Saccharomyces cerevisiae S288C: one gene and its partners. The protein of the gene in region 4 binds, or shares a complex with, the protein of the main gene of each other region. Each region holds a gene or a part of one and is shown on either strand. Other genes may lie near its edges. The genes, in order: SMD3, SMD1, SNU13 and SMB1.

Region 1 (7,901 bases), on a different chromosome or scaffold from region 4:
AGCATGCGTAGGTTCGAAGTGCTTGCCAGAAGATTGTCACGTACAGTTATCAGTTGTTGTTGATGTAAAAAATACAGGCAAAGAAAAAATCAACAAGAATAAGGGCGGACTACATGTTCAAGGCCGTTCATATTGGGCTCCATGTAATATCGGACCATATTCCCAAAGTACTTGGTTAAACGATGATGCAAACCAAGTCAGTTTTATCAGTGGGCAAATCGGACTAGTACCGCAGTCAATGGAAATATTAGGAACACCTCTCACTGACCAAATAGTTTTGGCATTACAACATTTTGATACTTTGTGTGAAACAATAGGAGCTCAAGAAAAGTTACTCATGACATGCTATATTTCAGACGAATCGGTTCTCGACTCTGTCATCAAAACATGGGCGTTTTATTGTTCAAATATGAATCATAGATCAGATCTATGGATGGACAAATCTGATGATGTTGAAAAATGCCTAGTTCTTGTAAAGATTTCTGAATTACCTAGAGGCGCTGTTGCAGAATTTGGTGGTGTTACTTGTAAGAGATTAATAGTGGACGATAATGATTCCGACAAGAAAGAAAGGGAAGAGAATGATGATGTTTCAACCGTATTCCAGAAATTGAATTTGAATATTGAAGGTTTTCATAACACTACAGTTAGTGCGTTTGGATATAATAGAAACTTTATTACGGGATTTGTAGATAGTAGAGAGGAGTTAGAACTTATCTTGGAAAAAACCCCAAAATCAGCCCAGATTACCCTCTATTATAATCCCAAAGAAATCATCACTTTCCACCATCACATTGGATACTATCCGGTGGAGAAACTTTTTGATTACCGTGGTAAAGAACACCGCTTTGGGTTGCATATTCGTTCCTAACTCCAAATGTAGGCCTTATATTTTATAAACTTAATAGATATACGCTGTCCACGCTCCTGGCGGTGTAAATGATAGACAGATCCCAAATATGTTAGCAAATCATAGGAACAACACCATATTGTGAACACGTAAAATTTAGAATACGCCGCACAATTAAGGTGTGTTCTGTAATAATTTGATTATTGATGATGGTTTAGGAACCAATATTCATATAAAAAAATGATCATTCTATAAAATACCTTATCGTAACACTTGTACCATGCTACTAACACTGTATATATTTCTGACCCCTAAGAAAAAGCACCTGAATAAGCTAAAGACCAAGTTAAGCTTTGCCCATTGTCTAGGAAATTTCTGTTGAAATCAGGTTGGCTGAAAAAGTCGTACGAAAATTTTGGATCAAGCAGAGCCATATTTAACATGATTATTCCTTTCCAACCGTCATTCACTTGATCAATTATCGGCTGCATTTTTTCTTCCCACTCCTCTTTGACAAAATTTGGTGTTCTGACCCATGAAGATGCTGATGTTATAGGAATGGCGTGAATCATATGAATGTATTGAGGCTCCATGCCAAAATACGTGGCGTGATCAATTTTATTTTCGAATAAAATACCACTAACTTTATTACCAATAAATTCTTTCGGTTGGACAGTATTATTGCTTTCGTATAGGAAGTAGCTCTGGAAAACATTTCTCATGATGCCGAGTTGTAAGTTCGCTATGTCAGTTAACTTAGAATTTCCAGTTACCAACCCCCACAATTTTATCGCATAGCAAGAATTGACATCTTCTGAAGTAGATTCTTCATCTTTACCGTCACCACTTGGAAATAGTCCTTTGGCCCATGAATGGCCATTAAACCAATCAAATGACCTAAATTGAGGGAAGTACGGATCATCGTTGTCAACACCAGAGTAATCTCTAATTAAGCACTCAACCCAATCTCTATTATTTTCTAACCAGGAGTTGTTAGTAACTCCACTTAAATCAGAATCGACTAAAGAGATAATGGCAGCCGTTATGACATGATAAGAGTAATGAAAATGATGATCATTATAATAAGAGTTACCAAAGTCTTGGCTAGAAGAGCCTGATGAAATTATGCCTTTCCAACTAACGTCGTAATTTAAAGGTAAGACTTGCTGATTGCTGATGAATCTCTCCATTGCAATAGTCAGTTTAGATAATAATTCTTTTGTTAAATTTTCATCATGAAGGATGTAATGTGTCACATAAAGAATCCACGCATACTTTGCAAGTATCTTACCAGAGAAATACATAGAATCTATGTTTGATTCTTGTTGAGGGTCACTCAATTGAACTTCTTGAACAGCAGCTTCCCGAATTTTAGATAGCTTTTCTTGACTGTAATCTGCCTTCTTATTCAAAGATAACGCGACAGGTTCAAAGCCCAATTCTTGAGGTACTTGAACCTGCATATCAAAACTGTTTGTGAGATAACCAGTCATTAAGCCTTTAACTGTGGAATCCAGGCTTGAGGCAATTTCACGTTCCTGCATTTCTGGTGTGAATGCCGCTTTATGATGTGGTAAAGCATACATTAGAGTAGTTCCAGACTGCGAGTAGCCTGCAACCGTATAGTTAAATCTGTAATTTGTGAAATGTTCATCAACAGTTTGCCCTGATAGGTCACAGTATACTGGATAACAGCCCGCTGCCATGTCAATACTGGGGACGGAGTCTGCAGATAATTGACAGATAAGACCATTGATTTTATGAGATGATATTATTGTATTGCTGTCGAGTAATGAAATTTGAAAATCTTGTGGAAAAGAGTAATCAGGTGAGGTCAAATAAAGTATCCAATTCCTATTATTCTCAAGTTGTATATTATATTTACCATATCTTTCATTCACGCTTATGCGCTCTAAGCTCCTGAAACCAACGGCGCTTCTTAATTCAAAACCCAAATCGTGGTAAATAGCCGTGACAAAGCCCATCCCCTGAACCAGCGGGAATTCTATAAACTGGGAACTACTCAAAGACATTAGTAAGCACATGGACATATGTTTCATATCCCGGAATTCAAGCTTGATATCATTTGAAGAGACAAATTCCCTGGCCTTGAATACAAATGATTTTATATTTGTGGGATTGAAGTAGAATCTGGGAGGATTTGTAGTTGTATCAAAAACCCTTTGAGACGCTAAAGTATGATTGGCGGCCAAACCAAACAATTCTGGATCACGAGAAAACCAAATTGAATAAGGATGTGTCCATATAGGTTGTGTATTATCGTCTAATAACATGTTTGTGTAGAACTTGTTTGTCTCCAATGGATCAACAGATTGATCATCAATATTCGGCTTTGGTACCGGGTGTTGAACTTTGTTGAAGACGGAAGGAGGAGCTTTTAAGTTAGAAAGGACAGGTGATTGAAAAATATTGTCACTATTCACCTGGCTGTCAGCTAAAGGGTTAGAACTGCTTGGTGTGCGCAGTGATTCACCTGCCACCCTATTTTCTCGAGGTTTACTGGAGTTCTCAGAAGAACAAACTGGTGGCTGAACATTTGCGCGAGGTGGTAAGGGAGGAGGTCCTCTATTGGTAGTACCGCCAGGTCTATTAGGAACAGGTGGAGGAATGGCTTGCCTACTGTAACACATCTTTTTACTTCTCGTATTTATTTATTTTTGTTTTTATGATACTAGCACTTTTCAGAAATTCATGAATTTTATTTATGGTTCCAAGAAAAAAACTTCAAAGAAATGAGTACTAGAATGATATATCCACAAAAAAAAAAAGAGCAGAAACAAAATGGATGAGATGGATAATGTGATACGATCTCTGGAGCAAGAATATCGGTTAATATTGCTCTTGAACCATAGGAACAAAAATCAACATAGAGCGGCTAGCTGGTATGGATCGTTCAATGAGATGAAAAGAAATTGTGGACAAATAATAACGCTTTTTAGCTCGAGAAGATTACAAGCCAAACGCCTTAAAGATGTTGAATGGGTCAAGTTGCACAGGCTATTACAGAGAGCACTTTTTAGACAGTTAAAGAGATGGTACTGGCAGTTCAATGGCGTAATTGCGCTGGGACAATTTGTAACGTTGGGTTGTACACTAGTAACATTGCTGGCAAATGTGAGGGCACTGTATATGAGATTATGGGAGATTAATGAAACTGAGTTTATAAGATGTGGATGCTTAATAAAGAACTTACCGAGAACAAAAGCAAAATCGGTTGTGAACGATGTCGAAGAACTTGGAGAAATTATAGATGAAGATATTGGCAACAACGTTCAAGAAAACGAACTAGTGATAACGTCTATACCAAAGCCTCTGACAGAGAACTGTAAGAAGAAAAAGAAAAGGAAAAAGAAGAACAAATCAGCCATTGATGGCATATTCGGATAAATATACAAGTAAATAGACTTTTTAAAATAATAATATCAATGCTAATAAATCATTCATTAATGACCTTGTCTGCCCAAGTAGGCAAAACAAACGCACTAGAATGTATTTGAGGATTATAGTACTTCAGCTTCCCTTGTTCTTGCTCAGATATCTTTCTTTGCGGAATGTTCAACGGTATATTGGCGTTATTACTGCAAACAATTAAACCTAATTGGCCAGATGTATAGGTTGGAACCATGGTATAGCAATATTCTGTATTAGGAAATACCTTTTTGGCTGTATTTTTCAAATCATGTAAGTATTTTAAATTTAACCAAAAATTTTCAGAGCTTTGCATAATAACAACGCCATTAGGATTTAAAGCATCTTTCAATAGTTCGAAATACCTCTCTTGAAAAAACGCTTCAGCTGGACCTTCAGGATCAGAACTATCTGTAATAATGACGTCAAATTTCTTATGGACGTCGGAAGCACCTATATCTTGTAAGAACTTGAAGCCATCGCAAAGTTTCAAGTCCAACCTTTCGTCATCGAAAGCACCATTACTCAATGTGGGCAAGAACTTACGGGATAATTCGATCACTGATGAGTCAATTTCTACCATAGTGATATCTTCTACACAGCTGTGCTTGGCTACTTCCCTTAAGACACCTCCGTCCCCACCGCCAATGATAAGTACACGCTTGGGATTAGAATGCGCAAACATGGCAATGTGGGTGATCATCTCTTGATAGGCAAACTCATCAAATTCCGTACATTGGACAATACCATCGAGGACCAAAACAGTACCGTATACCTTGTTACGGAAGATTAAGATGTCCTGAAATTCACTGCGGGCTTCATAAAGTATTGAGTCCACGGTCATAGTAAAGGCCTGGCCCGGAAAACTTTTATCATTAATCTCTCTAAACCATCCATCTTTGATGTAAGGATGCTGTGAATTATTAACCATAATGTATAACTGAATCTGTCACTTTATCCTGCCTGTCTCATCGGCGTTTTGATATTTTATTTTTAACTAAAATCAGCAGCAACTTGAAAAATTTTGAGATAACCTTAAAAAGGATCTAGCAATAAAGAGAAGCTCGAAGTAGCCATGGACACTGAAGAGAAAAAAAAGACTACAGCGTCAGTAGAGCATGCCCGGATGTTGCAAAATGAAATACAACAGTTATTTGCTCAGTTGCGGGATACGAATTCTCAAATTCGCTGCGATCTTAACGAGTTTGAACAAATAAAGGAATCATCTACAACAGCGGATTCAACCACGAACAGTGCGAACTGATAAATTTATATTCAAATATATTTTACATAAACAATATTAATATATATATATATTCCCCCTACAATGATGAATGCGTTTCTGCCGTCACGTTTCCTATTATCACCTTCTCTTAGGTCCTCTTATTGGTGGCATAGGTCTTGATGAGTTTTTTTTGAATAATGGTGCATTCTTTAAGAGATCTGGAACAACGATAAATTTGATCTGTGACCCACGTACGAATATTTGATCCATGTGTGTTACAGCCCCCTGGGGCTCTGTAGCTATTACATCTCTTAGCTGTACGTTCATGCTATCTTCGCTTTCAACAAGTTTACCACGATAAGTCGCTCCCGTTGTTAGCTCCAGAGAAACGATATGTCCCTGTGCCTCATTTAATAATTTCACTGGTATTCCATTCATAGTCATTGTTTCTGATACGTGCCTCGCAGCGCTTTCTGATTCTCTTCGTATTGCTCTTATAAGAATTTTTTAACGATTTCAAAAATATCAAATCTATAGAACGAAAGAAATAAGAAGCTGCCATCCCTAGAAAAGTAAAAACTATAAGGTACCAAGAAGTAAAAAGAGAAATATAGGGATATAATGATAAAAACACGTATAGAGGAAGTTCAGTTACAATTCCTCACAGGGAATACCGAACTTACGCATTTGAAAGTCTCCAATGATCAACTTATAGTAACGACACAACGGACAATTTACAGAATAAATTTACAAGATCCGGCCATCGTCAATCACTTTGACTGTCCATTAAGCAAGGAACTAGAAACTATAATGAATGTTCATGTTTCACCAATGGGTAGTGTCATTCTTATTCGAACCAACTTTGGCCGGTATATGTTGCTAAAGGATGGCGAATTCACTCAATTGAACAAAATAAAAAATCTCGACCTCAGCTCGCTACATTGGATCAACGAAACCACCTTTCTGATGGGAATCAAGAAGACGCCCAAGTTGTACCGAGTTGAATTGACAGGAAAGGATATAACCACGAAGCTATGGTATGAAAACAAGAAACTCTCTGGTGGAATTGATGGCATTGCGTATTGGGAGGGCTCTCTGCTATTAACTATAAAAGACAACATTTTATACTGGAGAGACGTGACAAATATGAAATTTCCTTTAGTATTACCAGATGAATCTGAGCAATTTGAAAGGTTAAAACATCATGCGATAAAGAAATTCGATTCGTACAATGGACTCTTTGCTTGGGTCACATCCAATGGAATTGTCTTTGGTGATTTAAAAGAAAAGCAAATGGAAAAAGATCCTGCTTCTAATAATTTTGGAAAATTCCTATCTTCGTCGAAGGTTCTACTCAATTTCGAACTGCCTGACTACCAGAATGATAAAGATCACCTCATCAAGGATATAGTTTTGACTGCTTTCCACATCCTGCTTTTGAGAAAAAATACGGTAACAATGGTGAGTCAATTAAATAACGACGTAGTGTTTCATGAAACTATACCGAGACACCAGTTGACTGGCTCCAACACTGATAGTAATGAGAAATTTTTAGGCCTAGTAAGAGATTCGGTGAAAGAAACGTTTTGGTGTTTCTCAAACATCAACGTCTTTGAAATTATTATCGAAAATGAGCCTAATTCGGTATGGAATTTATTAGTTCGGGATAACAAATTTGACAAGGCCCTATCGTTGAAAGGCTTGACGGTGAGGGAAATAGAATCTGTAAAACTTTCAAAGGCAATGTACCTTTTCCACACTGCTAAAGATTTTCATTCCGCGGCTCAAACTTTGGGAAGCATGAAGGACTTGTCACACTTTGGGGAAATCGCATTGAATTTTCTCCAAATAAAAGATTACAACGATTTGAACGTAATATTGATAAAACAGTTGGATAACGTTCCCTGGAAATCAACTCAAGTCGTCTTGTCGAGTTGGATTATTTGGAATTTTATGAAACAATTGAATGATATTGAATTAAAGATAAACACAACTAAGCCAGCTTCTACTGATGAAGACAATTTGCTAAACTGGAACCTGAATCTCAAGGAGAAATCGAATGAACTAACGAAATTTTTGGAAAGCCATCTAGAAAAACTTGATAATGAAACCGTTTATCAAATAATGTCCAAACAAAACCGGCAAAACGAATTATTGATTTTTGCTAGTCTAATCAACGATATGAAGTTTTTATTATCATTTTGGATTGACCAAGGAAATTGGTATGAGTCCTTGAAAATTCTGCTTACAATAAATAACCATGACCTAGTCTATAAGTACTCTTTGATTCTCTTATTGAATTCACCAGAGGCTACTGTGTCAACGTGGATGAAAATCAAAGACTTGGATCCAAATAAGTTAATTCCAACAATTTTAAAATTTTTCACAAATTGGCAA
Region 2 (7,609 bases), on a different chromosome or scaffold from region 4:
ACCAATATGGGCGCAGCTATGGAATACTGCCATTGTCAGGGCTAATTTATCGATTCAGCATTGCCTTCTGATAGCATTAGCTTTACTTTTTAATCAGTCAAACCGAAGCGCCCTTTTGCATGGAGTTGACGTATCATGGAATTTGGTCACAGAGAAACTATTGGACCTTTTGGAAGAGTATGTACACGGCATTGTGCAGCCGATGGAAATTTTTTCGACTGATTCAGTCTTATCAACCAACTTGAATCATTTGGCCAGTTGCTTGACCAGTTCAATCACGAGGTCAAATGAGGCAACTTTGGTAAATTCAGTACGCAAACTAGAAAGGATATGTCGATACTTGTCCGATACTGTGGCTTCGTTGAAAGAACAACAACTAGATTTCAAGTTCCAAAATGTATTTATCCTGATAATCCTCGCGTTAAAAGAATTATCCGCCATGAATATGACAATACTGCCTAACCATAAAGACACTTTTTATTCTATGATCTGTTTAAGCCTTTTCCACGTCCACGTATTGACTCAAAAAATCGGGACAGTCGGTTTTCCCAGTTACGATTATGTTTACGATAATTTAGTAACGTATTTCATTGTCATGGATGACTTGTCTAAAATCACTACAGTTTTGGAACTAATGAAAAGAAACAACACCAAACAAGATCCAAATAAATTAGTGTTTTACATCAATTTTCTAAACAAAATTACTAATTACTATGGGTGTCGCATTCGTTTGCCGTTTATTACTGAGTTTATCGAACCTTTACTGCATTTCGATGTATTTTTTAGCGGGAAGACGGGCAATACCTTGGATATTGAAATCAAAGAATCTATACACACATTGACAATCACTGTACTGTCTATAGACTCCTCTTATTCCTCACAGGTTGCACAATGGCAAGTATCCCGCATACTCGTCTATTTAAAGATGTCGATGGACCAATTTATTGCAGGTAAATTGTCCGCAAATCAAATTTTACTTATATTCGGCCATCTATCCACACAACTTCCCTCACTACATAATTATAACAAGCATTTGCTTAGGGACTCTTTGCACGAGACGTATATCAGAATTGTTAATGTAAAAAACCCAGAAAAGAAGAATGTATTGATTGAATGTCTGATTGTACAAATAGCCTTTATCAACAATCCTCATCATTTGATCGGCTGGTTGAACATCTGTCTCCAGCTAATCAATACACATAACAAAAAGCTACTTCAACAATTGTGGGAAATGGTTTCGAGTCTAGAATCCTCCCTAGCCATCGACTGGTGGTACACAACGGTCTTATCAAGTCAATCTTCTAAATTATAGTATCATTAAGTACTTTATAGTAGCGCCTTTTTATATTCCTTTTTTCTCAAACAAAAAAAAAAAATGACTGGGATACAAGTGAAAGTGGAAGAGCAAGTGAAATACGAAATAAAGTGAACCATTTATACAGAATAGGAAAACCAACTAGTGCATTAAACTAAACTCCATGTCATACAAACAGTATTTTGATAGTTTGCCTTTGAAATTGAAGTCCTTTTTCCAAAGATACCCCCCTTCAATCAAGTATTCTCCAGTGTCTACATCTACTAAAGCCATTAATGCCAATCCTTTCCTGCCAAATAAACATCCGGTCACACAACGATTTCATGATCCGAAATATTCACTTAGAAGAATGAGTGACGTATATAAGTTGGCACTGCGTTATGGAGTAGAAGAGTTTTTACCACCGATCGAAAACACTAAGAAACTTTTCTTCGAGGAGAAATACAATAAAAAGACCCTCATGAAAGGTGTTCTCTTGCCCAAGGGTCATAAGCATGAATTGAAATTAAACGAAAAGCTAAAAAAACGTGAAGAAGCTTTAAAGAAGGTAGATGAGTTGATTGCTTCCAAGAAGGGTTCGAAGTATGCCAAGAGAGTAGAAAAAATGAAAAAAAACCAAAGTATAGGCTGGTTCTGAAGAATAAGAGAGAAGATAACTATAGTTTAGAATAGTAAACCCTATGTGTACTGTTTTATGTTTTTAATGTCTAATCATGTAAATAATTTTGTGATATCAATAACGAACGTTCTGAACAAGAATTATGATAAAAAAAAGTAAAATCTAAAGCCATTACAACGCTATATTTTCAGTGGCAGTAAAAACGCAAGAACAAAAACAAAACGTGGGTAAAGAACAAGGACTACAATGGCTGTCAATGAATTTCAAGTGGAGTCTAACATCTCTCCAAAACAACTGAATAACCAGTCAGTGTCACTTGTTATTCCTCGGTTGACAAGAGATAAAATTCATAATTCAATGTACTATAAAGTAAATCTAAGCAACGAATCTTTGAGAGGCAATACAATGGTAGAGCTTTTGAAAGTTATGATTGGCGCATTTGGTACCATAAAAGGTCAAAATGGTCATTTACACATGATGGTTCTCGGTGGCATTGAGTTTAAATGCATCTTAATGAAGTTAATCGAAATCAGACCGAATTTCCAGCAGTTGAACTTCTTATTGAATGTAAAAAATGAGAACGGTTTTGACTCGAAATATATTATTGCTTTGCTTCTGGTTTATGCGCGGTTACAGTATTATTATTTGAATGGCAATAACAAAAACGATGATGATGAAAATGATTTGATAAAGTTATTTAAAGTACAATTATACAAATATTCACAGCATTATTTCAAACTAAAAAGTTTCCCACTACAAGTAGACTGCTTTGCTCACTCCTATAACGAAGAACTTTGTATAATACACATTGATGAATTAGTCGATTGGTTGGCCACACAGGACCATATCTGGGGTATTCCATTAGGGAAATGTCAATGGAATAAAATATACAACTCTGATGAAGAGAGTAGTTCTAGCGAAAGCGAAAGTAATGGTGACAGTGAAGATGACAACGACACCAGCAGCGAATCATAGACCTCTTCTTGGCCTTTTATTCGCTGGTGCACCAAAATCGCGCCTTCTCTTTTTGCTGGGGTCATTTGCAATTTGACCCGATCTTCTTAGGGAATTAAGTTGCTTTTGGTCAACCAAAAGTGAATCCAGGTTCAAGGAATCAGGTAAGATTATCTGTCTTATGGTATTGCCTCTAATGTTTATGTATTGCAAACTTGCTATGTTGTCACTTGCAGTAGGTTGCTGTCCTCCAGTCAAGTACAGACTAGCCATCGCAATACCATTACTGTTCAATTTATTTAGTCGGGGTTGTGGTAGGGTCAACTTCACGTCAGTTAAGATAGCATTCATTTGTGGTGATACCGACTGCAGTGTACCCCAAACGGTGGTACCGTTTTTTAGTTCTATGGTAACCTGCTCATTGCGCAGCTTTTTTAAAAAGTTAACCAACTTCATAATCTTTTTCTCGACGATTTATAAACGATACTTGGAGTCATCTTTCTTCATGACAATTTCATTGTATATGAACATTTCATATATTTTATTATTTTAAATATTCATTGAAAAATCATTAAATACGAAACTCAGAATTTATAATGGGGAATACTTTATGTAATAATATAATCATAAAATATATAATTCTTATTATTTTATTATAAATGTATTCCATATATAATATATAAGAAGCCATGAGCTTTTACTACTTCTTGGTATCATCACGATGCAAAATTTTTACCCGTGGTACGAAAAGGTTTTCTTTAGGTTGGAACGACGGCTGGGTTTGAGCGGATGATGACTGAGGCTGAGAGGAGTTTGATATTTTTAACTTCTCTTGCAAAAGCATTTTCTTCTTCCTTTGTTTCAAAACCTCTTTACCCGCTTCCTCAATAATAACCACATTACTGTTCTTGGTCTTAGAAATGGTGCTTTTTTCACGATTTTCACGCTTCTTCTTGCCTCTGTTCCGTTTTTTCTTTGGTATCTTAGCGGATGCTTCCTCTTCTTTGAATTTCTTTTTGGCGTTTTTATTTTTCTTCTTTTTGTTCTTATTCTTGACCTTATCACCAGTTCCAACCAGCTCTGTTAACACCCTTTCTGTTCTTTCTGCTATTTTATTTTCTAACTCTATGCTTTTTGAGAATTCTTTTTCTAAAGATTTCAATACGCTAAAATCTTGGAATGAGTACTCGTCATTTTCATTCAGCTGTTTCATTGAATTCATAAATGTTTTAAAAATTTCGTCTTCTTCAATTGTTCCTACTAGCGCGGCATCCTTTTTTGATGTTTGAGTGAATTTCTTTACGTAGGGCGACAGTTTCATATCTGGAATTGTAATATTATCCTTATTATCAATGAATTTACAAGTTTTAATGAAATTTGCGCATTTTTCCAAGTCTGATAAGTTGTCGAACAAGAAATTGCACCGAGAATATGTCGAGTTTTTGAATACTTTACTAGAATAATGACCTTCAAAAAAACACCAGTCACTGTACTTGAGTTTACCCTGGATATCTTGCTTATCACCATCATCGTTATTATTATCTCGTAAGATGGCAAAAAATTCATCTGCAGTCAAATTTGGAGGTAGCAATCTAATAACAAGCTTAAATCCTTCATTCTCGGTTGATTTACCCAATCTAGCCTTTCTTTTATAGTTATAATACTCTCTGTTCCTTTTCTTGTTATTCCTTCTGCCTTTGCTATTGTTGTGGGTAGCATTAGTAGCATTATTAACCTTATTCTCATTCTTTTTAGGATCTACCGTCTCATTCTTACTTTTTCCTCTGTTCTTGTTATGATACCTATTTCCCCTGCCTTTCTTTTTCCCCTCACTATTCTTCAATTCCCCAGCCACATTGCTCATGATAGATTACTATATATTTCAGCAGAAATGTAAGTCCCTCAGTAGGTTTTCCTTTCCTCTTTGCTGATATATTCATGCAATAATCATCGACAATATTTTCTTTTGTATCTTACTTTTTAGGCGAAAAATTTTCAACTTTTGATCAGCAAACAATACACAAAATAAATAAAGGGATGATAAACCATAGAATAACAAAAGTCTTCCGAAATAGCATATGTACCAATCTACTCAATCATTAATATGAACACTGCATTGGATGATTTACATGGGGATTTGGTGACTTTAGAAGATAACGAAATCATCAATAATTCTGATCATTCATCTTCTCACTCTACTAGTCATGAGGAGGAAGACGAGGAAGAAGACGATACTGAGGATATAGAACTTATAGAAAAAGACGGCAATAAAATCCTATCAAGTAGAATTCATCCGGAAGACGAAATCATAAATGATGGGTTAAATATATGGATTCCGGTTCAAATGCTCAAGAAGAATATAGCAAAGTTCTGGTCCCATTTTCTAGCAATTGAAAAGAAATTAACGAAAGTTAAATGTAAACATTGTGGAGAGATACTAACAAGAAGCGATGCAAGTTTGACAAAAACCTTTAGATCTCACTTGAAAACAAAGCATAATATAAGTGCCAATAAAAACTTCTATTCCATGAATTTCACAGTAGGAGACTCCAATCTCAAAAACAATACTTCCAGCACAGAAATTACACGTAGACACGGCTATGATTCGTTAACCTTCAATTCCGACCAAAGTTTCAAATGCTTTGACATAGGAAAATTACAGAGCAGTAATTACCTTTCTATTTCCCAATTAGTAGCCATAGTCATAGCCTCAGAAAATTTACCGCTGAACTTCTTTGAGAATGTGTCCTTTAAATCTCTTTTATCAAAATTTCATAGGATCCCTCCTTTAACTACCAATATAATAGAGGAGTCAATTATAGGGTTGTCAAAATCAATTGATGAGTTGATCAGAAGGTCTATATCAAGGAATGATACACAATTACCCTTTACTATCCATTTATCCGATAGTAAGGAATCAAATCAACCTCTTTACTTGAAATATTCTAGGGAAATTCGGGCACAATTGTCTAACTTGGACTTATCCCATCTTATTTCTGTAAATTTTACAGAACTGGCTGGAAAAAGATCATTATTTTCTTTGCAACTGTTCGATAATACCAACAAAGTTTCGAAGGGTTTACCATTATCTATTTTTGTACGTAAAACAACGGATATAGATATTAGTGTCTGGCAGGAACAGCTCAACAATTTGTATTCGAAATACCCTGGCTTACAAAAATCGGTGATTTCTATAACTTTGCCTCAAAGCCATTATACAATGGTACTAGAGAATAGAAACAGTCATAATTTTACTTTCCATAGCGGGAGTGTGAGGGAGATAAAGTACCATACTTGCATAGTATCTGAATTACTTCATTGTTTTTTACAGCCGTTGTTTAATGTTCCTACTGAATCAATGCTGTCTTCCTTTTCTGTGGCCAAAGAAAATCATTCAGGAGGCTCTTTGTTAGACTCATTAATAGATTTTTCCCATATTGATTTATCATCTACTATTCTCGGCAAAATATGCTGTTTGATAGAAGAAGTTAACTTAAACGACTCCCTAAAATCGGATTTCCTATTATACTGCCAAAATTATACACAACCTAACTGCAATGAACTTACTTCAATCCTTTCCTGTAACTGCGATAGATTTTCAGCTTTGAAGAGTATCTTAGAAAAATTTGCAAACTTAGTTCCTTTCTTCAAGTCTATCAACTCTCATTTAGAAAATGAATCACTTAGTGAATCCGATTTTCGTCTAATAAACACGGTAGAAGAGACGTTAAGAACTTTCGAGCAATCAATTGAGTACTTTGCTTCTTCCGCTCCATTGAAATTTACCCATACCTTGGTTTTTATCATTAAGTTTGAGTTATATTTGACAGAGATTATACGAAGCTTCAAATTCACCAAATCTAAAAAGCCCTTTGAAAAAATCCTAGCAAGGCTTCTAAAAGTTAAAGACCTTTATTTACTTGATGATGTAAACTTGATTGGTGCTTTCCTGTATCCATCAATCTTCCAAAGTAAAAGCCTTCTAAATGAAATCTTTGGCACAACATCGGTAAATAAAATAGTTCATAACATGACCAAAATTGTTCTAAGGTATCTTAAAAACTTTATCAATATAACTAATTTTCGTTCCTCTAATAGTGGTGGGGAGAGCGGTCGGAATTCCGGTAATAATCTTCTTTCTGACTACGAGGCCATTTTTATGAAAGAATCACGGGACGTAGAGCTTTTATGTAACACCAAGTTAACCGCACCACTAACAGAAGATTCATTACTTGTCCAAATCATTCGGGATGATCTATTACGCTATGTCAACAGAATTGCGCATGAGCTGCCTAATGCATACCATGACTACTTAAATGATAATGATATTAGCTTCGATGGATCTCACTTTACAAAACATGAGTTATCTGAGGAAAACGACTCTAACTCGGGGGAATGGTGCCTAAATCCCATGGAAGAGACATTTGATATTCATATTCCTATCTCGGATTCAATTTGGAATAATTACATAAGCAGTAAAAACAAGATTGAAGTAATCGATATTTTACTTCAGTTGCTTTCAGTAAATTCGACATCTTCAATACGGTCAGAATTATCTTCTCTAACAGCTAATCAAGACTTCAGTACCAAGTTGAGTGAGGAAACAATTAAAATCAAACTTTTGAATTCACAGTTTAATCTCGAAAAAATTAATTTTCACTCTGGATCAATTTTCGATGCTTGCTAGTGACATAATATTCCAAAGGAAAGGACAATATACT
Region 3 (7,615 bases), 110 kb from region 4:
AAGTTGTCTTCATCACGAAGGAAGTTACTTTTTATGTTTTAGCTATGGATTGTATACCGGAACGTCCAACGAATTGAAAGCGAAGGTTGAGTTCGCTTTAGATGGACCGTTCGTTGTTAACTACGCAACTGTACCGATGTTCATGTCAGCTTCCTTCTGTCACCTGCTAATGTTTAACGACGGTTCCATTAAGGGATTCAAATGCGAAAATAACAAATTTGAAATTATCTACGACTCTAATGTGGCTCCGAAACTGGATACTATTTCTTTATTAACTTCCAGCTGGTTAAATGCTTCCTTTGAGGGTGTTTTATACACTTGCAATAAAAACATATCATATGATAGTGATTTGCATACGTTATGTACGACAATTTACTCCTTTGACTTCAGAGAAGGAATAGTCGAAAGATTTTATGCCACCGATGGCGAAGAAATTATCTCCTTTGATTTTATTAGCAGGGAGGATTTGCTTGACGACGCCACATGCACAGGTAAATCACACGTTTATTTTCTTTGCCTACTTAAGAGTTGCTATAGTGAAAACCTGTTTTTAAAGGAATACAATCTTGCTGGAAAGCATGGAAGTAGGAAATTTGATTTAAACGAGTACCGCCAATACAATCTTTTGCCGATATGTGATAATGAATTTTGTTATATGAAGGTAGTTTGCGGCCATACCATTGTAGTGTTGACTACTAACTACACTCAAATAATAAATATAAAAGCAAGTGGGCTTACAAACGGGGCTTTTTTCAATAATAAAGGTCTCCCAAATGTAGAAAACTACCAATTTCTAAAAGATTCTTATGATGTGATATATGAAAGATCAGTCATTCTCTTGACAATTTCTGACGTGTATGCTAACAAATACACTGCCAAGATACACACTAGGTCGTTACATAGAGACCACGTCCTGAAAGAACTACAATGGACAAAAGAAAGAGTGTTCAAGCCTCCTAAACATGATCTATGCGATGTTATTTTGCAGCTCCCACGTGAAAAGTATATAGCGGTGACAAGAATAAATGGAGTAAATTTTATATCGAAAGATCATCGAGGTTCAAAATTAGAAAAGGTGAAAAGCGGTCCCGCTTATACAAACAAAGTTTACCTGGCATCACAAGTTATTGGAAACAAGGGGACAGATATTGATTCACTGCTTTTGGGTGGAAGTTTTAACTCAAGAAGAGGATTTTTAGAAAAGAAAATTTTGGTATATGACAAAACCCTGTTCAAGTTAGTGACTTCCTCCAAAGCGCTAGTAGAGAATGTAACTGATTTTTGGGTTACAGATTTAGCACTTAATGGTGGTGACGAATTTGCATATGAATCAGGTGGGTTGATTTATAAGAACGGAATATTTTTAATGGATGAGCCTTATGATTACGGTCTATTTGTTTCTAGGACGGGAAAAGTTTTGAAAGCCGGTATGGATGGTTCTACCGGAGAATTTAGGCAGGTCGATTTCTTGCAGTCGAACCACAACTCTTCCACCATGTTTTGTTATCCCGTACAGAACTCCAAGCTCAGGATTTCGATACTTGAGGCAAAATCTGGTTTTCTACGTAAAAAAGAAGAATTTTTTATCCATGGGCTCAATTCTAAAGAGAGTATTGTGAGCTGTTTCTCAGATGGTGCCGAGAAATACCTTTTTGTCATTTACTTGGACGGTGTGTTTTCGGTATGGAATGCCAATCAAAAGAAAGTGGCTACATCACATCCAGACTATTCTTTCATAGCCTATGATCAATTGATAAAAATATCTTGGCTAAGCAAAAAGCATAAACACGACTCGATTTATGTCATCGCATCATCATACACTGGCTGCGTAAGAGTCTACAAATCAGAATCAAATTTTTTGAGAGTGGATTTAGAGATTCATTCGTTATACGATCAGAAATTAGAACTGTTGGATACGATTCCTTCCTTACCTTTGGTTTTCCTTTACAACGATAAGGAAATAATTTTGTTAAATCTTCAAAACATGTCTTATGGTTGCATACAGTTAGGCTTAGTTCCAAGACGAATGAGAATTCGACCCGGTAAAGCACTGTTCTCTCTTTGTGTTTTAGATTATGATTCTCGAATAAGCATCTTTGAGTTTGGTAGCACGTTTTACCGTGAAGGTTTCACTAAGCAGATGACTTCATTAAAACCTCAATTAGAAAATCATATCTTTTACCTCCCTAGCATTCCCGTAGAGCTCTATACTGTTCCAAATAACCTCAATCAGGCCGTGGTGTGTTTGGTCGATAGCAATAGTAGGCAGTATAAGTTGATGCTATTCAATTATGCTTCAATGAAGGCAGTTTCCACATTCAGTTTCTCGGATGAAAAGTATTTACATGCCGTTGTGAAGCCACTGTGGCCAGAACAAAACTCAATCTACTTATCACAGAGACCCTTTTATGGTAATAAGTTTGTTGTATGCTTAGGAGTTGGTGAAAAACGTACAAAATTCTGGCTGTTTGAAATTAGAAACAATAACATTACCCAATTGTACGCGAATTATCTCGAAGATTGTATATTCTCGGTGTTCATATACTATGAGTGCAACTTGGTTTTATTTTCTGGTGATAGTGGCATAGCAGCATATAAAATAAACATGCTAAAAGAGGGCGCGGAAATTTTAGAGGCCTATTCCTTCCCAGCACTTTCATCGATTAACCATATAGGTCTTCCAGCTTATATGAGTGGTGATTATCTGGTTCAATTTGAGATCTTGAGAGATTTTTTGAGAACCCGCTTTCCAATTAGGACGTCCATAGTATATCCATCAGAGTACCCTGAATGTCCCTACTTGGGTTTTAAGCGGTTGGGAAGCATTACACAAGTGGCGACTAAAATAATTCCTAAGAAGCTAAGAGAACCTAAAAACGATTGTTTAGCGAGTGATAAGAACTATCTATTAGGTCGATTATCAGACCTTTCTTGTGCAACGTTGAAATATTCCAATAGATCTTATGTTGCCACCATTGGTATTGATAATACCTTGACAATATACGAAGATTCTAAATTATCAGTTGATAAGGGCGGGTTGGCTATGCCATACCTCAAAATTCGGTTACCTAATAAGATAATCTCACTGGCGGCCATCCCAGATGGATTTCAAAACCTTCAAATATGTCCAAATTTCAATAGTCAAAGGTTGGAAGGCGTCATACCTCTATTTTTACTTTGCGGTACTGAGGGCCAAATTTATATAATATCGGAATTCATTGGTGAGCTGTGGATGAGAACGTTGCATGATTACAAAAAGATCAAGCTCGAATGTAAAAGAGCTTTTCGAAGGTCTGAGAAAAGCATGCGAAATGTTACTAAACAATATTCCGTGAGTAAAGAGACTGGAATAAATGAAAGCGGCTTTGATGAGCTAGCTAGAAATTCAAAGAGAAGACATATAGATCATTCACCATACAAGACCATAGATTTTTTCGATCCTGTAAAACTAAAAAGGTGACAATAAATCTCCTACGAACGAATAGGTGCCATGAGATCTTGCACCTTTTTGTTATGCCTAAATTACTACAGCTCAATTGATAATACATGTTTGTGCATTTACAGATGCACTCGAGTAGGTTATTCAATGAAGATATGACATATATCATACCACTAACAAAACAGCACTATTAGCGTCTGCACTAGTGGAAAGCAAAAAACTTTTTTATAGTATATAGATGGTACAAAAACTATGTTGATAGATATAATCCAATCTACTTAAATTAATAAAGTTTCAATCTTGTCCTTGACAGCGTAGATTTGGGTCTTGATAGCAGAAGCATCGTTGGTGGTAATAGAAGCAGCAATAACTGGTCTAGAAACACCACAAGCTCTACCTAAAGCAACTCTAGATGGAACAAAGACATATGGAACATTCTTGTCTTCACATAGTAATGGTAAATGCAATAGGATTTCAATAGGTTCACAGTCAGCAGCCATAATGATGAATTCGGAGATACCACGGTTCAAAGTTTTGGTAGCTTCGTTGGCACCTTTCTTCAATTGTCTCAAGTTAGCAGCCTGTTGAACGACATCCAAGATTTGTTGGGTTAATGCAGCATCGGCTAATGGGAAAGCCTTTGGGTTTGGGGCAGACATTTTTAATATAGTTTTTATAGTATGAAATCTGGTTTATTCAAGTTCCTTGCAATAATCAGTATGGTCCTGGTATAGAAAGCTCGCTCGAATGATGATTTAAATTAAGATTTGAAAGTAGGACTTGAACACTAAGAGGAATAAGCACTATTAACCAGAATAATCAGTTTTAAAGTGAAAAATTTTCTAACTCATCTCATTCCAGCATTAGAAAAAAAAATTTTCTGAGAAAAAGGAAAAATGAAAAGAAAAAGAAAATAGAAATGAAAAATTTTTCTATATGCTGAATTTATTACCCGGATAAAACCGATAAGAAAAAGAAACGATACAATTGTCTACTTTAACAATAGAAGTTGATAAGGTTGGGCCTCTTTTAAGAGTACAGGTATAGTGATCTCATCGTACCCATTGTGTAGCTTAAAACGCATAATGCTCTTTGTTGCTCCTTGATATTCAAATTTTCTATTTTATACACATTAAAAATTAAGATATACATATTTAGCGTGTAATACTCTTTTAAACAATAATAATGGTACTAATAAAAAGGAAGCTTGAAATGAGGTAGTTTGGATATGAAGTAAGAATAGGGGCTATAAACAATCTCTAAGATGAAAAATTTTGATAGTTTTCATAGTTTCTCACAAAAAGATTCTTTTGTATACTCTATTCCTGCTTTAGTGATTCAGAAGCTGCCTTAACAGACAACATCTTGAGTAGCCCTGGAGTTCAACAACAAAGCAACAATCAAACCGTATAGACCCAAAACTTCAGCAAAAATCAAAATCAAAATCATACCGACGAATAATCTTGGTTGTTGAGAGGAACCTCTAACACCTGCATCACCGACAATACCAATAGCGAAACCAGCAGCTAGACCACTCAAACCGACTGATAGACCGGCACCCAATTGGATGAAACCGGTGTACAAAGCTTGCTTTTGACCCAACGAATAACAAACCAAAACGGAAACAACTAAACCGTAAATGGCAATGATACCAGCCATAATAACAGGAACAATGTTCTTGAATAATAGGTCTGGTCTCAACACACAAGTGGCACAGATACCAACACCAGACTTAGCAGTACCGTAAGCAGCACCTAATGAGGTGAAGATAATTGCAGAGGCACAACCAATGGCACCAAAGAAAGGGGCGTAGACAGGACACAATTCAGTCATTATATGTATATGTTTCTTTTGTTATTCTAATTGATTAGTCTTTTTGAGAAAAGCAATAAACACGATCTTCTCTTTCTTTTAAAAAGATTTTTATAAACAAGTTTTTAATCAGAACGAGTGTATAATTGTACAAAACTATCAAGGGTCAGTCAATCACTTAACCACTTTTTCTGTTTTTTTTTTTTTTTTTTTTTTAATGCGTTTCTTTTCCGGGTAATATCCCTTTATACGATTCAAATTTTTAGCAATGGAATAGGCCGTAGACGGCCGTAGACGGCCTATTTCATTGCTGATAAAGAATTCAGTTCCTCTATCTTTCCTAAGTTGAATATTGTGCAATAATAAATTCATTATTAAAGAAGATGTACAATTAATAATAAATAATTGCTGGGTGAATTTGTAAAAAAAGAAAACTGTAATATAGAATATATAAAATAAGTTGATAGAAATACCTAACTAAAACAATAACAATTATTAATAATAACGCAGAAGTTAAAGCTTATAGTCTATAGCTTAAATGATTGCGATCTGTGTTATTGTTGCGGGCAAAAAGAAATGAAAAATTAGCGCCGCTCGGTTTCGATCCGAGGACATCAGGGTTATGAGCCCTGCGCGCTTCCACTGCGCCACGGCGCTTAGCCAACTTGAAAGAACTGGATGTTAACTTTATTTATTAACACAATAACAAATTCTTCTATCTCTATCTCTCCATGTCGCTTATATTGAGGTCCGCCAACATATCACTTAATCTGTTACTTGTAGTGGCATGTTTATAATTACTATTTCTTAGCTCATTTCAGGTATTTTGCGGTTAATTATAAAAGTAACCGCATGTGTTCCACAGTTGTTGTCAGTTGATACTATTTTAGGTGGTTTATGCTGTTTCAACCACGACAACTTCATCCTCTCACTGGACATTTTTGAACACTAATTGAAGTTTCCAATACCACTCGTCTTTTAGGCAAAGGTATTTTTCAAATATAGTTATGAAGGCGTATATGATGGCATTTGGCTCATTTGGGCAGTACGACATTTGTTCATTTCCGGTAGAATCAATACCTACGTGTTAGTTTACCTTCCGATGGTGATTTCTCCCATGGATATTGCAGGAGTAACAGTCGGTTATGATTCACTAACTAACAGTTATATTTTGCTGGGATATTATTATATACGGCGTTAGAAGACATGAAATGATGAGAAGCAGTCATTAAATTTAGTGGAAGCCGAAATGTAAGGATTGATAACGCAGTAGGATAATGAACAATAAAACATAAAATGAAAGGAGAAGTGACGCTTTTAGAGCAGTAAATTATAACGTAGAGGACGAAGAAATGTGTGCATGGTTATGTAGATTGTTGATTCTCTTTTGCGAACTCCTGTGACCTAGTGGAGAATTTTAGCAACTCTGTAGGCCTAATAATGTTGTCTTCAATCAAAATGGGACTTGACAATTACTCCAATATCCATCTAACCTATATCGTTATCCTGTCATCATCTATGATATCGCTAGACGTTAGTAGTAAATTGCTTTCTTTACTGCGCATCGTCGAGATATTTGCACCATTCATGCATACATCTTTGTGTATAAAAGATGTTAATCAGAATTATCATACATGTACATAACGTAATACCTGAGTACTTACTGAAACTCGACAATTGGATGTTGGAAGGCATTGAGTTCTTGCGTTGTTAGCCGTTTGTTGTTCCTAAAGTGAGGTAAGTCCGTATGGTTGACGGTGGCATCGCCAAGTTTTGCCATATAACTAATCCCGCTAGGAAAATAGTCGTATTTGTAATGAGTGAAGTAGAAACTATGCCCGTAGTTACGATAACAGTATGACACTGTCTTCGTCATAGCGGTAGTGTTAGCTTCCGTACGATTGCTAAATATGATAAAAGTTCCAACAGTATCTGTAGCCGCTATTTTGTTGCTTGGAAAACCAAGCACTTGTAAGTACTTTAACACATTACGAGCATCAGTTAGAGTGGTGTTATCACGTAATGAGGGCAAATTTGCACCATTATGAAGTAGTGTGCCCGCACTTGCGAGCTCGACGATCATGACAAGAAAAAATAGAAGGCTTGTTATTGTTATTTTCATTTTTTATTTGGATCTGATATAACTACGATGCAATTTGACAGTGAAGAAAAGTTATGCTTCATCCAATCCTAAGCGCGATAGTGGGAATGCACCCTTTAACATGGCCTTATTAAGTTGTCTAAAATCTATGCATTGGCGGTAACTACCAATCATATTTTTCATCATATAGATAATTGGTAGATGTTGGGTTGACCTGGCCCATATTACATAGATATGAAGAAGCAAGCTCGCAAAACAGACAA
Region 4 (8,177 bases):
GGGAGCTAAATCATTTATACACGGAAAAATTAGTGAAGGATTTTTTGGTGGGGTCTCCAAGGAAGTAATTTCTACGGTGTGGTCTATGTATGTTTTTCCGGACGCGTTCCGCCGTTTTGGTTTCTGCCCCAGAACACCCCCCATAAAAGAGGTTTTTCCGAAGAGTGCCTTTCAGTTTTTCCGAGATCTTTATCTTTTTCATCCGTATTATGTAAACCTGAATAGCCCCTTGAGCAATTGAGTTGCATAATAGCATGCAATTGCATATTGAACCTCCTAGGACTTAAAGGTTATTCGTCAACTAAGGAAAAATATGCTCATAACTTACATATCTCGTACACCCTAAAATCCCACACAGGGATTAAAATTAAAATTATGTTTAGGTAATGAAAAAATAGTAAAAAAATGCTTCCTTAAGTTAATTATGAATTTCCCTATTAACACACATGCGTACACAAAAAAAGTATACGGAAACTATATTAGACTACACTACATCAACCTTATTTTCTTTTAAAACCTGGTGGGGGCTGAAACTTCCTTGTTTGAGGGGGCGCTTCATTATTAAACCTCGACCTATTTGCGCCGATATTATCGTTGCCACCATTGTATCTGCTCGACGATGGTTGGGCAATCTCCCTAGAATTGCTACTAGTATGCTTCGCATTGGCCGTGTTAGGTTTAGCGATCTTTCCCGGCTTTTTCTCTTTCTCTTTTCTTAGTTTCGTCTGCTTTTGCGCTTGTTTCTTTTCCTTTTTATCTCTCACTAGTCTTTCCTTCTTGGATAGTAGCGGCTTATCCTCCACCACTGTGGATAAGATCTGTTCTCCTCTTAGTATAGTCAGTCCCAACACTCTTTTTTCTACCTTGATGTTCAAAGTGGTTCCATCTTTTGAATCTTTTCTCGGTCTTAATTTATCTAGTTGAGTTTTGGGTACCCTCTCTTCTATACACTCATTCAACACTAAATTCATATGTTTATCAAATGCCATCAATTGCCCGATGTAAACGCGGCCATCTTGAGTGAGAACCCTCAGCTTATAATCAATAAGGTTGGCTAGTCGGCTGCTATGTGCCACCTGTATTTTGCTCATTAGTTATTTACTTTACTGGAAACCTGTTATACGGATGGTTCTGTTACCCCTTCTACTTTTTTCCCTGTCTTGTTCATTTCTAACTAGCATAGGCTTCTTTAAATTTCATTTTTTATTTTCATAATTTTTATTTTGAATTTTTTCCCACATTATCGTGAGAAAAACAAGAACATGGAGAAATAAGGAAGCTCGGTGGGTGGTTAATTGGGGAACACACCTGGTAAGTAAAATTCAATACATGGAAGGAAAGAGAGAAATAATGTCTGACGAAGCAAAGGAAAAGCGTGAATTAGAAAGCCAAAAGGAATCAAGTCATAATAAATCCGAAAAGTCTGTGGAACCTAAGCCAAAGAGAAGAAGAAGAAGAAACTATGACGATTATGACGCTGAAGTAGCAAAAGAGGAGACTAAGGCTAAAAATGGTTTGACGAAGAGCGAAAATAATGGTACTGTTGAAGATTCTGAATCTGATATGGACGATGCCAAGTTAGACGCATTGATGGGAAATGAGGGAGAAGAAGAAGAGGACGATTTGGCAGAAATTGATACCTCTAATATCATCACATCCGGAAGAAGAACACGCGGCAAAGTAATTGACTATAAAAAGACTGCAGAAGAATTAGACAAGAAGGAACCTAGCACAGGCTCTAAAGATGATGTAGGATATGGTGAAAAAGAAGAAGACGATGAAGACGAAGAAGACGATGATTTTAAAGAGTAGTAAGCAAAATGTCGTACATACCGGCCTCTACTTGTGTATTCTGTTTACTTCAATTTCCTATATGCGTTCTATATGTATATAAACTATATGTCAGCAGAAAATTGTAAAAATATAGCACAGAATTAAAGGGGAGAAGAGTCATTCACATGCAAGTGCGCAACTGCTGCAAAATATCTCTTAACAACAGTTATTTCCATTTGCCTTTTTGTTTTCGTTTGGTGTTGGTGTCAGACTAATCGTTGGTCCATTAGGAGCGGACGCACCATTGGCATTCCCGTTGGCACTGGAGTCACCAAGGTCCATTTGATGCTTGCTGACCTTTTGATAGATGGTATTGATTAACTCTTCAAAAGCCTTATCCACGTTTTCACTGTTCAAAGCACTTGTTTCTGTGAATAATAACTGATTTTCCTGTGCAAAAGTCTTGGACTCCTCCGTAGGTACAGCACGTAAATGGGCCAAATCAGACTTGTTACCGATAAGCCCCACTGCGACGTTGTCATCTGCATTTTCTCTTAATTCTGATAACCAATGATTACAATTTTCATATGAGCTTGATTTACTGATATCGTAAACGATCAAGGCACCTACAGCTCCTCTATAATAAGCAGAAGTAATGGCTCTGTAACGTTCCTGGCCCGCAGTATCCCAAATCTGCGCCTTGATCCTCTTGCCATCAATTTCCAAAGTTCTGGTGGCAAACTCAACCCCAATTGTAGACTTTGAATCCATATTGAATTCGTTCTTCGTAAATCTTGACAATAGATTGGATTTCCCTACCCCGGAATCACCGATCAGTACAATTTTAAATAGTAGGTCGTAATCATACCCGTAGTCCTCGCTGCTCATTGTTGAAATCCCCAGACGCCGTCAGAATCCCTTTGCTGGCCTAAACAAAGTGCCTTGTAATAAAGGTCAAATTGTTATTCGTTTCTTTCTTGAAAAGTTTTGAGTTTCCCTCTTTCTCTAATTTAGCACCCGCACACCGCAGCGGCCTGTGATATTCCGCATTGGAAAATGGTAAACAAACAACAAACGAGCCCAAACATAACAACAGTAGAATTGACGCCTAGGAACAACAATACAACATACTTACAGCAAGACTACTACCTAATTAGTGCAATTAGATTGCGCTGGGATAGATCTGAAGCTTTTTTTCCGATTATGAGCCTCCCTGTTACACCTGTCAAGAGCAAAGTGTGCAGTACATTATCGATACAACATGAGATGGACCATGATCAATGCCGTGATGTGTTGTGCCCACGCGAAAACTTACTAGCCATTAATAGAACTAATAATATAGAGAGTGTTGCTATACCGCGACAGAGATCGAGCAAGAACAAGAAACCCCATGAGCATACACAATCGCAGGTTCGATTTTCCATTCCAGATCCAAATGAAATATCACAGGACTCCCCACTGAAAATTGTATTCCCCAAGAGTGGAAATGAAACCGAAAGAAGAATGTCTACTTCATCATTACTTATGAATAGCCATGGTCATTTAGTCGACATGCACTCTAAAATACTGGTCGATGTCCCTAAAGAAGTTTGGAAGTTTCATCATAACAGGAGAAAAAAATGTGAAAGCAGGCACCGTAAAACTCGTTCTGATGTTAGGTCCAACACAAGTAGTAGTGGAAAAGAACCAAACCATTCTAGATCAAAATCATTACAGTCGATCATTGTGGATACAATGAACACATATCGTGCAACCGAGGTTGAGACCAGTATTAATGAGAATACTAGTAATATTAGCCAAGTATCTCCGCTGAATTTATCATTTGACAGGCCTCCTCCCTTAACTCCCGAAAAGAATTTATATCTCACTCCTGAATCGCCATTGAACAGATATCATTTACCAGTTCCATTAGAAATATCTCTGCCGCCCTACTTATCTCCGCAAAACAAGGATAAAAAGAGGAGTAGCTTGGTTTACGATGGGGATGGCTATAGCCAGTTTCAAGAAGGTAACACCTCATCGTCAACTGAATCTTCTCTAGAACAGCCCTCATCGTCGTATTCAGATGAAGATGATTCTATTCCATATGCCCACCATGATGTGTCTTTCGAGTTAAATAATGCAGATGCTGATAAGCTTCTTGGAATTGATGAGAACGCCAACGTCAATCTGAAGATACAAAGGAGAAATCTCAAAAACCCACAACATATTAAGAGTAAAACAGATAGGGAATGTGAGGAAAAAAACACTGAAAAAAATGTTTCGTTAAAAATTCTGTCAACACCAAATAAACTGATAGACATCCCCGACTTAGAGCACATGAAATCCCCACCAAGCACAGGTTTAAATGGGACATTAAAATTTTTCCAGCAGTTTGAACCTAGCGAGGAGCCAACTTCTCCAACTCGCCAAGTTAACCCTGAATCACTGGACAAACTCGATATGTCATTCAAATTTCCCTCCAGTACTACTAACAATAATGTGGATAAGGTACATGAAAATAGAAACTCTGGAGACACGAACAATGAAGATTTCCTGAAAGTTGATACTTCGCCTGTGAATCAATCATTTGAATCCAGAAGACAGATGTTAATAGACTTGCAAAAATCTCCGACGAATAATAATCCGAGGATACATAAACATAGGAGAAGCAGGAGCGTTCATAATATTGATGACATTTCCTTAAATTTCGAGGCAACCTCCACACCACCAGCTCCGACCTCTGCTCCCTCAATTCCTGTTGAACATTCTAACCCATGTACTTCCATTGAAATACCTAAGAGATCACCCTTACGGTTCACGTCATCTCCAAAAACATCTGATATTCCTCCTGAAGCTCAATCACCTAAAAATGGGTCCTTCCTCCAAGAAATCTCGGTACCTTCGATTCAAATTATACCAGATGAAAGTATCTCTCATACAAGAGAACCATCACCATCACTTATTGAATGCCCAGAGGATGAAAACGAAGCTTTTTCTACTGAAGTTGCTGACCATTCTATTGCAATAATTAGTGAAACAAAAAGTGTTCCATCGATAGAGCCATTCAAACCGCTATCTTCATTCAATTCATTTGGTCAAGAAATTCAAAACAAGGAACCAACTCCTTTGAACCAAACTCCTACAGACTTAATTGGTAAACAAAGAAACTGTGTGAATCCGCATTCAATTCCATTTAGTGTTTTATCTTCCAATAGCCAATCGTCACAATCGGGTAGTAGTAAATCTTCCTACAATTCTGAGTTTTCTTCCAATACTGCCATTACGGATACAACATCTCAACCTTCTGTGACCATTAACAGGTCAACTTTAGAACATAACTTTATAGAAGAAAAACGATCAATTAAAAATTTAGGTCATGGTCCTCCATCCCAGAAGAACAACTATTCGTTCCCCAGGAATAAGAATACTCCTTCAAATAGACACGATTTGGATTTTAATACCATTTACGAAAAAAGAGATGGTAAAATGGTTGAGGTTATTCTTTTAGATGAGGATGAAGATGTAGGCCTCAAAAATAACGATATATCACGAACAAGAGTCTGCCATGCTCAAAAAGCTAAAAATGAGCAACAGAAGAAACGTCTAAGCCATTGCAACGAAATTTTGGGCATGTGTGATAAAACTGCAGATGATGCAAAAAGAATTATTTATCAACTGGTAAATGAGAAGCATAAATTCTCAGAAAAAGGACAACAAACAAAGCCAAAAAAATCAAGAGTACTTCCGCCGTTGCCTTTTCCACTGTATGATGAAAAAGGGAATTCTTTGATCCCGAACAAGTATCAGTCCAGTATTCATAACGACATTCCATCTCATCGCAAACTAAAATAAAAAAAAAAAAAACAACCCTACAAATTGTTCTGGTAAACAGATTTGACCAGCTCATCGCATGAAGATTTATCGGAATGGCAATTTGCTTATTGCCTATTTTATTTTTTCATCGGACATTACAAAATTTCATATCTCTTACATGTAAGAAAAACTTCTAGTTTTTGTACTTTCTTAAAAAAACTATATTCAGACATGCCAATTCTGTAAAACAAATTAATAATATGTACTTTTATATCTACCAAAGATCATCCTTGGCACATGCAATTGATTACAAATACGAACATTACGCAAAGGTTTTAAAGCTAGTCACCTACTAGGGAAGAAATGTGGAGGCTACGGGCATAAAAAACATGCAGTATTTTCTCACGCTCTCTTTGGCGAGCTTTGAACAGAAGATGGTGTCTCCTGAATAGGGCTTAATGAGTAGTCATTTGAGAACTCCGGTGTGGGTTTAGTAAATGAATTAGTTGGTGTGATAGTTGTCGGTAAATTTGGTGAGATTACGTAGTTATCATTGCATTTTCCATCTAAACCATTCGATATTTGATGTTGTGGCGAAAGAACACTTGAAGGTTCTACGTTTTGACCAACATTATGATTTTGATATTTACTATCTCTCATTTGGGATGAAGTTTTTCGGGAGAGTGAATTGCAGTCATAAGTATTCCAATTATTACTGTTAAAGAAGGTGACAGTCTTGTTTGTAAGTTCAATCTTATTTTTCATCGGAGCTAATTCTTTAGCCCCTTGGTTGATCGTTAATTTCCCATTAAAACTATGCGTACTTCTGAAAGACGATGACACAGATGAAAAAGGAGAGACTTCTCTATTCTTGGAGCCGCCCCGTAAAGGAGATTTCAGTGTACGACGATTAAGATCATCTCTTTCAGAATCAGAGAAGTTAAAATCCTCTGGAATGCCATTAATTTCATCGATGTCGTAGTGGTCGAAATCAAAAAACTTACTTTTCTGATTGTATTCGTCTTCCTCAGCTTCATCAATGAAAAAGAGATTACTCATTGGTCTGGGGACTTCTGAATCTAAATCGCAATTTAAGTCATGATATTTTAGTGATTGAGACCTAGCTGGCGGCGGAAGAGGGGGGCTATTGAGTACAGCCGTATACTGTGGGCTCGCATAGTGCGGCTGCTGTGAATGAGAGGAATCAATAAGTTGAAACGGAGTTCTTAGTATGCTACTAGTGTCATCATCATCATCTTCACCATCATCATCGGTGATTGCAAGGGCTTGTGATTGCGCATCAGAAACGCTTGGAGTTATTACAATCTTAGCCGGTGTTTGAAGAATCTGCGAATGAGGATGATTGGGAGGATGGGATTCTGATTTGGTTTCATACAAAGAACTTTGCAGGGAGACCTGCCTTTCTGAATCATTGGATACTAAGCCGTTAGAATTGTTCCCTCCTGTCCCAGAATCACTTTCAGCGTCACTTGCACTATCATCAACATTAAATATATCTGAAAACGACTTTACTGTAGGCTTGGTAGAGCCAGTAGTACCTGTAAGGGAAGCCTTTATTGCAGAAGTGTGCTCCGTTTCATCATCCGAATTATTCCTTTTGAGAGAGAAACTATAGTTCGGCTTTCCATCACGTATGATATTTTTGTTAGATTGACTATAGATCCCCCGTGTTGATTTTGCATTTGCTGGTCCACTTTCTATACTAGGAGCTTCATCGGAAAACATATAAGACTCAGCTTCTGACATCTCTTTGTCGTCGTTATCGTCCTCATCAGACAAATCGAAAAGGTCATTGTATTTTTGAATAGGCTTCTTGACATTATCGTTTATTAGAAACTGCTCTTTGTTGTCAACCGTTTCTCCAAGAGATGCATCATCATGGTGTCCGCCATGGTTACCATTAAAAGTTTCTTTCCCGTTTTCTAATCGTTTTTGATAAAGATTATCACTCTCATTTTCATCTCCATTGTTACTGTTATCTTTACCATCCTCCTCCTCATCATCATCGCTCAAGTTAAAAAGATCATTGAACTTTTTGACTTTATTGCTTTTCAAGGATGTTTCTTCGAATCGAGTCGATAAACCGCATATTTCGTTTCCCTCATTACCACTCTCATCATCTTCTATACAATTCATATCGTCATCAAAGTTCTCATCCTCATATAGATCGTCTATGTATACATTTGCCGCCGGTTCCGGTTTGGAGTAATACTTTACAGATGATGTCCTTACGTTTATGCCGGCATATTCAAACGAAAATTCCGACTCATCATCATCATCATCGTCATCATCATCGTCATCATAATCATCATCATGATCATTATCGCCATCACCGTTTTCAGAAGATTCGTCATTACAATCGTTGGCTTTATGGGTTTCTTTTTCATTGACAGAGTATTCATCGGAATTGTTGTTGAGGGAATACACCTTTTCTTCTTCTTTTCTATTAAGACTAATCCTTACTTTTTTCTTGTTCAAGGTCTCGTTTTGACTATCGTTTTTGTTCACTTTTGAAGGTGATGATTGTAAGTCGCCGTGTCGTATCTTTGGTGAGAGGGAAAGTGTTTGACTATAAAAACAAGGTGACT

What was found.
Region 1: SMB1 (region 4) and SMD3 share a complex: the UniProt entries of both Saccharomyces cerevisiae proteins name them as parts of the sm core complex.
Region 2: SMB1 (region 4) and SMD1 share a complex: the UniProt entries of both Saccharomyces cerevisiae proteins name them as parts of the sm core complex.
Region 3: SMB1 (region 4) and SNU13 share a complex: the UniProt entries of both Saccharomyces cerevisiae proteins name them as parts of the U4/U6-U5 tri-snRNP complex.

What each region holds. Positions count from the first base shown.
Region 1 is NC_001144.5:428,516-436,416, forward strand, and holds SMD3 (mRNA splicing protein SMD3), read right to left. Parts: upstream 5,949-7,901; coding exon 5,643-5,948; downstream 1-5,642. Other genes in the region: DPH6 (diphthine--ammonia ligase), read left to right, coding at 1-871; ACF2 (endo-1,3(4)-beta-glucanase), read right to left, coding at 1,162-3,501; RMP1 (Rmp1p), read left to right, coding at 3,653-4,258; SPE4 (spermine synthase), read right to left, coding at 4,308-5,210; YLR146W-A (uncharacterized protein), read left to right, coding at 5,355-5,543; tethering complex subunit PEP3, read left to right, coding at 6,126-7,901. UniProt on the Saccharomyces cerevisiae protein: Plays a role in pre-mRNA splicing as a core component of the spliceosomal U1, U2, U4 and U5 small nuclear ribonucleoproteins (snRNPs), the building blocks of the spliceosome. Also binds telomerase RNA and is required for its accumulation.
Region 2 is NC_001139.9:631,447-639,055, reverse strand, and holds SMD1 (mRNA splicing protein SMD1), read right to left. Parts: upstream 3,345-7,609; coding exon 2,904-3,344; downstream 1-2,903. Other genes in the region: PEX8 (Pex8p), read left to right, coding at 1-1,312; mitochondrial 54S ribosomal protein mL59 MRPL25, read left to right, coding at 1,479-1,952; U4/U6-U5 snRNP complex subunit PRP38, read left to right, coding at 2,181-2,909; UPF3 (Upf3p), read right to left, coding at 3,589-4,752; ENV11 (Env11p), read left to right, coding at 4,993-7,575. UniProt on the Saccharomyces cerevisiae protein: lays a role in pre-mRNA splicing as a core component of the spliceosomal U1, U2, U4 and U5 small nuclear ribonucleoproteins (snRNPs), the building blocks of the spliceosome. Also binds telomerase RNA and is required for its accumulation.
Region 3 is NC_001137.3:98,426-106,040, reverse strand, and holds SNU13 (RNA binding protein SNU13), read right to left. Parts: upstream 4,099-7,615; coding exon 3,718-4,098; downstream 1-3,717. Other genes in the region: YEL025C (uncharacterized protein), read left to right, coding at 1-3,460; VMA3 (H(+)-transporting V0 sector ATPase subunit c), read right to left, coding at 4,790-5,272; YEL028W (uncharacterized protein), read right to left, coding at 6,912-7,373. UniProt on the Saccharomyces cerevisiae protein: Common component of the spliceosome and rRNA processing machinery. In association with the spliceosomal U4/U6.U5 tri-snRNP particle, required for splicing of pre-mRNA.
Region 4 is NC_001137.3:212,087-220,263, forward strand, and holds SMB1 (mRNA splicing protein SMB1), read right to left. Parts: upstream 1,092-8,177; coding exon 501-1,091; downstream 1-500. Other genes in the region: CHZ1 (Chz1p), read left to right, coding at 1,351-1,812; Rab family GTPase YPT31, read right to left, coding at 1,990-2,661; FIR1 (Fir1p), read left to right, coding at 2,977-5,607; ZRG8 (Zrg8p), read right to left, coding at 5,971-8,177. UniProt on the Saccharomyces cerevisiae protein: Plays a role in pre-mRNA splicing as a core component of the spliceosomal U1, U2, U4 and U5 small nuclear ribonucleoproteins (snRNPs), the building blocks of the spliceosome.